3 linked regions of the Oryzias latipes genome follow. The protein of the gene in region 3 purifies or fractionates together with the protein of the main gene of each other region. This does not show direct contact. Links are inferred from orthologs where the notes say so. Each region holds a gene or a part of one and is shown on either strand. Other genes may lie near its edges. The genes, in order: mob2, cdc37 and stk38l.

Region 1 (3,648 bases), on a different chromosome or scaffold from region 3:
ACCAGTCCATGAACTCCATCAATGTGCCACCAAAAACCAGCCACAGCTTTGATCCATCGTGATGACCAGGCGTTCGTTAGCATCGATAAAGCAGACGTGGAGGACGGTAAACTGTGTTTCTCTGTGGAGAATATGTTTTATGCGTTAAGTCAGAGACTCTGGACTGGATGATTGGTTCTCATTTTTGTTGGAGATTAAAAAAATTCCCTTGTTGGTGACAAAGTAAAGGTTGTTTTAGGAAAACTTCATAAGTTATATTTTGATGTCATGAATTCAGATTAAAAAACCCTCAAAATGAGGCTTTTGGCAGAAATTCTTAGGTTAGATTGTAAATCTGGCATGACAGCTCTACGTTTACTCTTCCTGTCGGACTCTGCAGCATCACTGAAGCTCCGCCTCTGCACCAGCAGGGGGCGCTGATCTCACCGTATTTAGTGGGGAAGATCTCCTCGTCCGTCACCAGCTTCTGACAGAGACTCATGACGAAGTCGACGTACTGCGGCGCCGTGCACTTCGTCTTCCTCCCCTTCTCGTCATACCAGTAGTAGGTTCTGGAAGAGAAAGATGGCGTCAATGCCGCCGCCGCAGCGTTTCACAACAGCATGGGGAAAGGGGGCGGGGCTACTCCAGGGTACAGTCTGGAATGGAGGATCGGCTGTGGGGGCCACGTTTCCTGGAGCGTGCGTCAGATGAGCAGGTCACATGACCTCCTCTCTGTCAAACGTCACCTGCTGCTTCAGAGGCGACATCAGAACCAGAACCTTCCTGGTTCAGAGATCATGAGATACCCCCCCCCCCCCCCCCCCCCCCCCCCCAATCCAGAAACCTGCTGCACTGTGGGTTTAAAACCAGAACCTTCCAGAAGTTCTGAGCTCCTCATGAAAGAGCCGTTCGGTTTTGGCTGTGAACGCCACAAAGGGGGGGATAAGCCGGGATGGATCCAGCCCCCCCCCCAACCATAGACCGCTTTAAGTGCGGGTTAAGAGCCCCCCCCCCCCCCCCGGAGCTCATGGAAACATTTGCTCTATTTTTAGAAGCTGGCGGCGCCTGCAGGCCCAGAATGACGCTGCTGCAACCGTGGCTCTGCCAGAGTTCACCACAGAGGGGGGGGCACCCACAGGGAAGGGTGGGGGACCCACAGGAAAGGGGGGGGGGGGACTGGAGCCCAACAGTCAGAATTACAGACACTGAAGTCCAGAGAGGAGGAACCGTTTCTCCTCTGGATCCAATCTCTGGCTCCGCCTACGACCGAACCGGCTGCTGCCCCTCCCGCCGGCGCCAAGCCTGCTTCTGGGTGGAGTGGAAACCCCCCCCGGGCCGACCTCCTGGCCGGCTGGGTCAGAGCGGCTCTTCCAGTGGAACCGGCTTCCCCAGCGGGAAGGATGAAAGGCATCCCGCCAAAAAACAACACAGGCGGAACCACACCCCCCCACACAACAGCAGGTAGATCAACCGCCTCCCTGGGAAAACTGCAAAGGGGCGGGGCTTCAAACAGCAGCAATAGTGCAAGGTTTGATTGATGAAAACGATCAAAGCACAGCAGGAATCACACACAGTCTGGGACGCTGCACCACAGCCACAGCATAGCTGCTGTTTTCATTTAGCAGCAGTGGGTCTAACCCTTCGGCCCGTTCCCAGACGGACCAGAACTAGCCGACCTCACGTGACCCTTCGGGAGGATCCGGGGGTTAAAGGACAGGAAGGGGGGCTTACGTGCTGCAGGCGGCGCTCATGGCCTGGCAGGTGTCCCCGGTGCAGAACTCGGATATGGTGCTGTACTGCAGGTTGATGAGGTTGAAGAAGGTGGTCGCTGTGGAGGAGAGGGCAGCACGTTAGGAGGAATCGGATCAGAACCGAACATTCTGGTCTACAGACCGAATCTGGAAGGGTTCCCACCTTCCAGAACCTTGCTGGAATTTGTTATTGCGGAACCTGACTTCAGACACGTCCAGAACGTTTGTGACACATCAGCCCCCAAACACATGACAGAAGAGAGGAGCTGAACCCAGAGGGGCTCAGAGGAGGCATGTGAGTCGGGGTGGGGGGGGGGGGGGGGTGTATCGGACTATTTTATTTGTCAACACTAGAAAGCCCAAACAACCCTGAGTGAATTTAGAAGCAGACGTGTAGTTCAACCTCCGACCACTAGTGGGCAGCGCAGAACGCCTTCCTGTTTCAGCCGCTCGGCGCCAAAACATCACCGCCTGAACCGCCTCGTGGCAGAGCTGACTCAATTGCTGTGTTTTTAGTTTAGTTTGTTTTAAAGCTCCGGTTTGAGCTCCGTTAGAACCGTTTCAGAACCGGTAAGAATCCAAACTACCCATCCTGGTTGGTGTCTTTGGTGGTTTAATGCTAAACTCATAAATAAACAGAACTTCCTTTTCTTATAGAACCTTATTGGTTAAAGCTCGTCTGAGCTTCGGTTCTTCATACTGAAAGTTCTGTTGTCGTGGAAACCAAACGGTGCTGAAAACCTTTTTCCTTAATGAACCAACCAGAAGAACCAGGAAGTTGCTGTTCTCAAAGCTTCTGCCATGTTGGATAGCGCCTCAAAGGGATTTTATGGTTGAATGCACGTGAAAGGTGCTTTATAACTTTTCCCGCCCAGAACCGGCCCACCTGAGAGAGCCGGATCTGGGCGGGACAATCTTGTTCAGACGCTTGTCACTCACTGTTGCTGGCCAGCCATTCGTTCAGGTCTATCTCCCGGGGCAGCACCACCAGCTCCTTCAGGTCAAAGTCCACCACCCGGGTTTTGGTGAACTCCGGCTCCAGGTACTGCTTCTTCTCCTCCACCGGCGCCTTCTTTCCGTTGGGCTTCGGCTTGGACTTCCTGCGACACAGAGAGGAGGAGGAGGGGGGTTAAAGTGGAGAAGAGGAAACAGAAGCTGTAGTATGTCGGGGGAGGACGGCGTGAAAGGAGGGGGGAGGAATCTCCCTCGCAGCTCCACGTCATGCGGCTGTGAAACAAAACCAACCGGATTTTCAAGAAGCGCCAACAGGAAGTCACCTGTCAGTCTGATGACCCCAATAATGTTTCTGGGAAAACAGAAACTTTCACAGGACCCCACCCCCAACAGAAAACAGCACGGGGTGGGGGGGGGGCATCACGCCAGCTTTCCAACTTCTAGCAGACGCTCGGCCGTCCACGGACGCCTTTGACACCTGGACGCCACATCACACCCCGCCTTCACGTCCAGAGCTCCCCCTCCTCCTTCCCCCACTGACCCAGGCGCTGATTCTGAGGAACAGAAGAGGGGCCAGAACACTGTCCCACCTTCAACTCGCGGGTTCGATTTCTACAAAACTGTTTTTAGTCCCTGAGCAGCTTGTATCACAAATGGAGAAGAAAGACGAAGATCAGCGACCCGCTCCAGGCAGAGACTCCCTGCCCTGACCCCCCCGATGTATTTCTGCAGGAAGAGCTTTTAGCCTCTGCAAACAAGCAGGCATGTCCACACGGGGGTGGGGTGGGGGGTCAGTAAACATACAGAGATCTCCATCAGCGTTTGAACTTCCCAAGTCATTAAACCGGGTCAGAACCACTTCATGATGAATGTCAGGACTGTTCTCTGATCAGATCTCCAGCTGCTCCTCATCGTCATCTTCCTCCTTCAGGCTCATCAGGTCAGAGTTAGATGTCTGGAC
Region 2 (4,426 bases), on a different chromosome or scaffold from region 3:
GATAAACAGAACCGAACATGATCAACTGTCGTTGGCCTGGAGTTGACAGCAGTAACCCTTACTATTTTTCTTAGAAACCTCATTTACCAGCTGTTCTATAAAGCTCATCAATCAAGCAGTTTGAATGATTATTTGAGCACAAGTCAATGTTTTTGTTGTCCTGAATAATGTAAAAGACCCGGAGGAAAGAAAAAAAAAAAATCAAAACATTGGAACTTAACGGTGAATGTTGTACAAATGTCACATAAAATATCTGTTGCAAAAAAATGTGACAATGTTAGACTTAAGCTTGCAACTATGCACCAATACCAACAAAGCATAACAAATGAAGGAAAAACATTCAGCTCAGGCGATGCAGAAACACAGTTTGTTTTTGTTGTTTCAAATATGTGACTTATTACACATTTATAATTCAAATTTGTACTCAAAAAGTTTAAAGAAATGATGGTGTTTATTGGCAAGCTGTTTTACATTAAATGAGACTGGGGTACAGTAAGTGAATACAATTGCAAACAACAAATCCATTGTGATCACTCCTTTGTTTCTTCCGGCTCCCGTTTCACCTCTTCATAGGTCCCTTCTTCCTCCTTTCCTTCCCCAGAGTTGGGGACCCACAGACCTGAGTCAATGCAACGCTTCATATGATGTTTTGCCTCCTAAAAGACACGACAGTCACATGTTAACAGGGATTTCTTAAAAAAAAAAAAAGCACCTAAATCCAAAAAGATTCAACCAGACAAAACTGTATAGCTTACAGTTGGATCCATTTTACTGATGACTTCTTGTAACATTTGGATGTCCTTCTCATCAAAGCATTTCTGCATTTCCTGTGGTTGAAGGCAAACTATGTGAGCATTTCAAACTCAATAGAGACAAAAAATGAAACCCTGCTTGTTAGAATGCACTTACAGCAGGCAGCGACTCATACACTTCAACTGGATCCAGGCCTCCAGGCCCCAACCGCTTCTGCCGCTCCTCTTCCTCGTATTCTTTCAGGGCCTTTTCTATGCGAATCTTTGCTCTTCCTCTCACCCGTTCTTTAAACGCCTCAAGCTCGTCGTTAAAAGCATCTTGGTATTGCTGATCTGCGGTCTGTAAGAAAACAAATGAACAAATGTGAACATTCCAAACCAGAAGTATAAAATTTTACAGAAACTTCTGGTAAAAAAAAAAGGACTTTTAAAATAATCTGTTTTAGTCCAGGAATAACAGACAGACTGCCTTTGATTTTTGTACTGCTTGTTTATGAAAGCACCCTTTCTTTTCCTGCCCAAACATCTTCTTTAAAATGAATAAGTTCAGAGCAATTAAACACAATAAAATTAAATAAACTTGCTTACTTTAATCTTTGCAAAAAACTGACGGAAGCAACCGCGGGGATCCACTTTGAGGCTTTTTGCCAACTCAAGAATGAACTGCATGACAATGGTCTGATGGGCCACCTGCTCCATCAGTGCGTGTTTCTGCAAATAGGAAAGCAAAGCTTTACTAAGAAATGAAAAACCTAAACAGCTGCAAACAGGAGCACACACTTTGAGGAGAAGATATGCTAAAAAACAAAGATACAAGAATATAAAATAAAAATATAAGTATATGTGTTTACCTCCTCAACTTCCAGATCAATGCACATGATGACGAGATAGTTAGCGGTTTCTTCACATACAAGATGAGGATTGTCAGAGAGATACTTTTGGCTGTCGTCCCATCGTCGCAACATCCCTGTAAGTTAATAAAAATAGACTTAAATTGTTTTTAAAGAAGGGAAAAGACAACAGAATGACCTTATGGAAGTTACTCAGGCTTACCGAAATGTTTAATCTGCTTCTCGTGTTTTTCAACAAATGTTTTGTGTTTTTTCTCCTTTTCTTCTTCCGTATCTTCCGAAGTTTCAGGTTTTATGTTCACTATGCTCTATAAGCGAGAACAAAGATCAAGATTTGACACCATCTAGCATTGATTTGAAATAACTACTTTGTTTATAAAATGTCAACGGACTAATGTGAGCTTCATTGGATTTTCCAACCTCTTGCTAGAAAACCACAGGTTTCTATCTGCATATAGAAGTCACCTTGCTGAACCCTTCCTTGCTGAGTGTGTCCACGTTCCACGGCATCTTCTTCTCCTCCCTGTAGTACTCATCCAGCTTTTTCTCCCAGTCCCGCTCCTCTTTTTTCAGCTTCTTCTCATCGGCTTGGTATTTGGTGAGCTCTGTTTTGACACCATCGGAAAGGTTCAGGTCCTGGATCTTTGTCTGTAACTCCGTGAGTTTACGCCGACATTCGGCGAGTCCTTTTTTTAGGTCTTCGCCTTTCTTCTGGAATTCTTCCATTCGCTCCACGCGCGCCTAAGGAACAGATCACACGCGTGAACATCATGTGTAAACAATTTCAAATACTCATCAGCTCTTGTCCAGTTTGAGTTCAAATTCAGGAATCCGAAGTAAGTAGGAAAATTAGCATGGCTGAAGAATTACAAGCAGAAAGTGAAAGCTAACGATCACGCTAAGCACTTTTCCGAAAAGCTTTTATATTTACCTGGTGTCTCCATCTGAAGAGACTGGGAGTGTCAATATTTGGGTGGGTATCATCTTCATCATCCGATACCTCAATGTGATCCCACACGCTGTAATCTATCCTGGACATCCTGCAGCAAGAAGAAGCAGCGCTAGCTTCGACTAGAACTCGGTTAAGTTGGCGTCTAAATCACGCTCGCTAAAATACCGACCTAAGAAATATTCACACTCGAACCCTTCAGAAATGTGTGTTGGTGCTCTGTGTTTCTGTACTCCAAATTTGGTCGTGCGAATTGATTTGTTACTCCCAAGCAAGAGCTAACGGGAAGCTGCTACAGAGTTCTAGAAGAAATTCTCCCCAAAGCTTCCGTTTACGTCATACGTAAGGCGCGTACATTGTACGTCGTAATTTAGACACCGGAAACAATGACCAAAAACGGAAAATATTTGGTTTTCATAGTTTTAATCTGAAAGACTGTGATGCTTTCTTTTGTATAAACATGTTGTTATTTATGGCTAAATTTGATATTCATAAAAGCAAATTCTCCTATAAAAAACTGATTTATTTGTGTTAAAACTGGAACTGCAGCAATATTTAAACTTAATTTCAGCTTCAAAAAACACAAAAGCTCAAAAAACAATTAACATTTGTAAATCTTTTGGAATAATAACACAAGTTTACTCTCGCATTTTCTCTTTTTATTTTATCATTTTTTTTCTATGTTTAGTTCTATTTTCTTTATTTATTTTAATTTTTTATTCCCTTTTGTGATTGTTAGAAATAATTAGAATCTTCTTAAGCATGTAACACGTTTATTCTGTATTCAGAATTGTAATGTACATTATCTGTGCATAATTGTTGCATTTCTTTGTTCTGTATGTTGCAATTGTTCAATAAAAATTAAAGAAAAGGGAAATTATATTTAAATATAAAAAAGAAAGAAAAGCACCATGACCCGAATGATTACATTTTTCAAGGCGAATTAAGAATAAATTAGAATGCTGATCTGAACACATATTAGAAGATTATTATTTTTACATATAAGATTTAGAAAATGTACCTACGTAATATGGTAAACTAAGAGTATGATATTCATTTGCTTACTGCTATTTTTCGTTCTTGATATAAATGGCCAGATATGATTTTTATATAGTTATGTTTCAGATATAGATGTGTGCTCCAGACTGATAGATGATAATTTAGTTTGTCCGTTCCCAAGAAGGAAAAGTTCAAGTTCTAAGAAAGGAAAACAAGATCAGTTTGTGAATGTTTTCCTTTTTTCTTCATCGCCGGTGTTGCGATCATAACCTGTGACAACACGTTTGAATAAAATAGCTAGAAAATGTTCAATCTAACAGAGAAAAGAAGATGAACTAGACAATTTTATATACTTTTTATTTCCATTGAATGCAAGTCATCAGCAGGTGGTGTCAGCTATTTTTGCTCGGTTTGAAGTTTGTCAGTTTGGAGTCTTTGAAACCTGAGCAGCAGACGGAGTTTCCAGTTTGCGCTGCACAGCACCGCTGCATCTCTCGGATCACATCCTCGCATTTACTTTCCACATACTTGTTAGCTGTGAGATGAGAACAAAAAGTTCACAAATTTGTTTGAGATTTGCATTAGAAGAGCACAACAACAACGTCAATGTGTACCTTGTAAACACGTTTGAATGGCACATGCTTGCTTTTGACACGGATCTTTCTGTGGCATATCTAAAGGAAAACATGTGAGAATGAAAACAATGATATGAATAAAACATGGGCAGAATCTTAAACTTTACTTATTGGATAAAGATTGGGGGCATGGTTTTAAAGTTAGACATACCAGTAATATTTGATACGCAGATCGACCTACTACTGCTGGGAACCCAACCACTTCCGTTTTCAAGGGATTGTTTTGATCACGTGTCATGC
Region 3 (3,611 bases):
AAAAGAAAGCTACTTTTAATAGACAGTACTACTTTTTTGCACCATGAGTGTGAAAAGGAGAGGATGATGACACCTGTGCGATGTACAATGTCATGGGTGTCAAAATAAAAGCTCAGGGTTCGTCTTGTGACGACTCTGTTCCTCCATCGTAGCGTAGCGAAAACAATCATCCGCCTACAATTTCAAGACTGTTTCGTGAAAACTTTATGTGACGTCATGCCGGTCCGTGGCGTTCAAAAGGTTGGGGACCGCTGCTTTATGTTGGTTTTGGTCTCCACCCCCTGATCATGTCACCAACATATCACTCGCCAAAGCTGAGTCCCTGATTGGTTGGTTCTTTGCCAACTGAATCACTGAATCACTTTTATTTAGACTGCAAGTTGGTGTCTATAGACGGCTGCCCAACCATTTTTATACAAGTTAAAGGTGTCCTCTAGTCTCACGTTTGACGCGGAAATCCACACACGATTTTACGATTGTGATATTTGGTCACTGGATCAAGTCTGCTGTTCTAGTTTCTGTTTAATATTTTGAGCTAATCCTTGTGTTCTGTGTTTCCAAACAGCCAACTCCACAGAACCTGACTTCAAGTCAAAGGACTGGGTGTTCCTCAACTACACATACAAGCGCTTTGAAGGTCTCACCCAGCGAGGCACCATCCCCACCTACATGAAGGCGGGAAAGGCCTGACGCAGCGGAGGGCGTGGAGGCCGCACCTCGGAGAAAAAACTTTACGGACACAGGGTCGGGCCACGGAGCCCCGCTGGTGCTGAAGGCCACGCCGCTGGCCTGTCAGTCAAACTTAACCCTCATCCAGAGTTACTTAGGTCTGCAGAGCTGCACAAGAGCTGCAGGAGCTCACTAAGGAGCATCACCGCATTACCTCGGTTATTTGTATCATTTGTGCCGTATTTAGCCATAGCGCTCAAGCCAGGTCACTAACTGTGACTCCAAATCAGGACATCTGCATGTTCAGTGGCAAAACGTCTTTGTTTATTTTGGTTTTAGTTTCTAATTTGACCTCGTTCTAATGGAGATGAGGGTTCAATGCCGACCACCGCCTTGTTGGCCTGACAACAATAGTGACTACACTGCTGGCTAAAGAACCTCTAATGCAAACTGAAGCTCAGTTTACTGTAGTCAAACTCTGGATGAACTATTGGAAACAACAAAGCAGACGCTCTTTACTGTAAGGATTGTTCCAGCATGATTTACTGGGGTTTTTCTTTAACCAAACAAGATCAACTGCTCCGGAGGATTCTTATTTTTAAAAAGTGTTAAAGAGGATGAGACGCTTAATCTTATCAATGACATCCATGAAAAATGGCTGACGAAAATATTTTACAGGATTCTCTAAATTAATTTGACCCAAAATCTCATACAGTAATGTAATTTTCATCTATTTGCACCAGTTGTTCCTGACAAGACTAGACTAACCGCAGCTGCTCCAAAGAAAGTAAAAAAGAGTAAAAAATAAGAAAAAAAGAAAGAGTAAAATAGCAACAGCGAAAGGATTGATTTACTTATTTATTTCCATAATGGTAATGGTACAATCTGCATCAAGGATTACCAAAAACAAAGTTGTCTCTTGGCTTAGGGTTATTTGCAAAGACTAAAGTTAGCATCACATTAGGCTGCAATAAAATAATTCAGATATTGAAAACTGCAAGCAAATGCATTATTTAAAGAACATTTTTTACTAAGAGTTCCAACAATTGTTTTTGCATGAGCGGACTGTCAAAGTAAATTACAGATCAGCTTCACCACTTAAGCTAATGTCCCTCTGGTCACAAGTGGGACAAAAGCGTTAACAAAATAATGTAAGACTCAGTTCAGTTCACTGGGTCTCCAGTCCATCATGTAAGCTCAAACTTTTTACAATTTCAGATTTACAAAATTAAATTGAGTAAGCATAAAGACGTTTGATACATACATGAGGACTCAACAGGTATTTAAAAAAAAAAAACATTAGATTTTTTTCAAACATGTTACAAATTTGAGCCATACAAGGCAGAGAGCTAGAAACCTCCTAAAGAAATGTAGAATCCCAGAATTGTTTTGAGAAATTTCATAAATTTGGGAAACATTTTGTAGCCATAGCAGTTTCAGAATATACAAAGAAAACATTGCAGATTTGATGCTAGCATCAGCCACTTGGTGCTTGTATCAGTCAACAGGTGCTAACATTGATTGGTGCTAGCATCATTTGATTATTGCTATTGATTGATGCAAGCATTAGGCAATTGATGCTAGCATTAGTTGATTAGTGTGATCATTAATCAATTTGTGCTAGCTTTAGCCAAAGGTGCTAGCATCTTTCAATTGGTAATAACATCTGTCAGTTTGTGCTAGGATTGATTGATGCTAGCATTAGCCAATTGATGCTACCATCAGTTTATTTGTCGTACCATCTGCCAATAGGTGCGATCATTATGATTTGTGCTAGCATTGATTGTTTCTAGCTTTAGGCAAAAGGTGCTAGCATCTGTCAATTGGTGGTAGCAGCAGCCAATTGGTAATAACATCAATCAGTTAGTGCTAGGATCGATTGATGCAAGCAAGCATTAACCAATTGATGCTAGCATCAGTTTTTTGTGCTAACATCTGTCGATTGGTGCGATCATTAGGCAATTTGTGCTAGCATTACTTGGTGTTAGCTTTAGCCAATAGGTGCTAGCATCTGTCGATTGTTGCTAGCATCAGCCAATTGGTAATAACATCTGTCAGTTTGTGCTAGCATTGACTGGTGCTAACATTAGCCACCCTGTTTCATTGCTAATGTGTAAATCTGCATTTCTTACCCCCTCCACTCACTTAATGCAGTATTTTTTAGATAAATTCTGACTGCTGAAAGTTTGCTGCTGCCTTTCCTGTGCAGTTCCTCCACTGTGTTGTTATGACTTTTTGTGCGTCATTTCTGCGCCTTTCAATGAGATAATGAGGCAAAACAAACAAGAAAACTCTCAAGTCATGCTGGAACCCTCCTCGAAATGTGGTGATACATTTCAAAAATAAGTAGGATAAACTCAAACTGTTGTCAAGTGTTAAGTACAAAAAATGGTGTTTGTTCTCAAACTAACGTGCATTTCATAATTTCTCTTCGGTTGCCGCTGCACTGACTGATATTTGCCTGAATTTTCACTAGTTAAGGACCCAATGGATAGAACGTTGCAAAGTGCCTTTTTATGTAGCTGAGAAATCTTCAACCAGATGTTTAGCTTGAATTTAGCAGGGATTATTAAAGACATAGGCTAGACTAACATGAGGCTTTGAAAAGGGGGAGGGGCTTAAAGTTCTTAAGTTTAAAATCTTAAATAAAACAGCAAGATCAGGAGTTTGAAACAGGACAGTTGTAAAAACAAGGAAAAAACTATAAGAAAGAGAGGAAAACATCCTAATCAAGCAAAGCGGGGGTTGTTTTTGCATCTTTAAGCGTGTGCTAGGTTTTTGTCAAACGTGGACGGGAACTTCCGCTCTGTCACAGATCTAACCTGCTTCGAGGTGTGACTCTGCACAGCGCCATAAAGAGTTACCAAAGAACTGGAAATCCTCACCCGTTCTGGAAAAACGGATGTAGCTGTGGCTTACTGCACTTATCGTTAAACTACCTA

The links.
Region 1: the proteins of stk38l (region 3) and mob2 purify together in Homo sapiens (affinity purification with mass spectrometry; 9 studies listed by BioGRID and IntAct, counting the BioPlex papers as one, with this or other methods). This does not show direct contact. The link is inferred for Oryzias latipes from reciprocal best matches to the Homo sapiens genes STK38L and MOB2.
Region 2: the proteins of stk38l (region 3) and cdc37 purify together in Homo sapiens (affinity purification with mass spectrometry; 3 studies listed by BioGRID and IntAct, with this or other methods). This does not show direct contact. The link is inferred for Oryzias latipes from reciprocal best matches to the Homo sapiens genes STK38L and CDC37.

Annotation. Positions count from the first base shown.
Region 1 is NC_019864.2:31,188,497-31,192,144, forward strand, and holds part of mob2 (MOB kinase activator 2), read right to left. Parts: intron 2,834-3,648; coding exon 2,673-2,833; intron 1,811-2,672; coding exon 1,714-1,810; intron 552-1,713; coding exon 427-551; intron 1-426. UniProt on the Homo sapiens protein: Stimulates the autophosphorylation and kinase activity of STK38 and STK38L.
Region 2 is NC_019866.2:8,382,983-8,387,408, forward strand, and holds the start of cdc37 (hsp90 co-chaperone Cdc37), read right to left. Parts: upstream 2,884-4,426; 5' UTR 2,725-2,883; intron 2,644-2,724; 5' UTR 2,643-2,643; coding exon 2,535-2,642; intron 2,345-2,534; coding exon 2,069-2,344; intron 1,912-2,068; coding exon 1,806-1,911; intron 1,720-1,805; coding exon 1,604-1,719; intron 1,464-1,603; coding exon 1,341-1,463; intron 1,093-1,340; coding exon 910-1,092; intron 828-909; coding exon 756-827; intron 657-755; coding exon 531-656; 3' UTR 1-530. Other genes in the region: cmc4 (cx9C motif-containing protein 4), read right to left, coding at 3,944-4,086, 4,166-4,223. UniProt on the Homo sapiens protein: Co-chaperone that binds to numerous kinases and promotes their interaction with the Hsp90 complex, resulting in stabilization and promotion of their activity. Inhibits HSP90AA1 ATPase activity.
Region 3 is NC_019881.2:3,870,232-3,873,842, reverse strand, and holds part of stk38l (serine/threonine-protein kinase 38-like), read left to right. Parts: intron 1-565; coding exon 566-690; 3' UTR 691-3,611. UniProt on the Homo sapiens protein: Involved in the regulation of structural processes in differentiating and mature neuronal cells.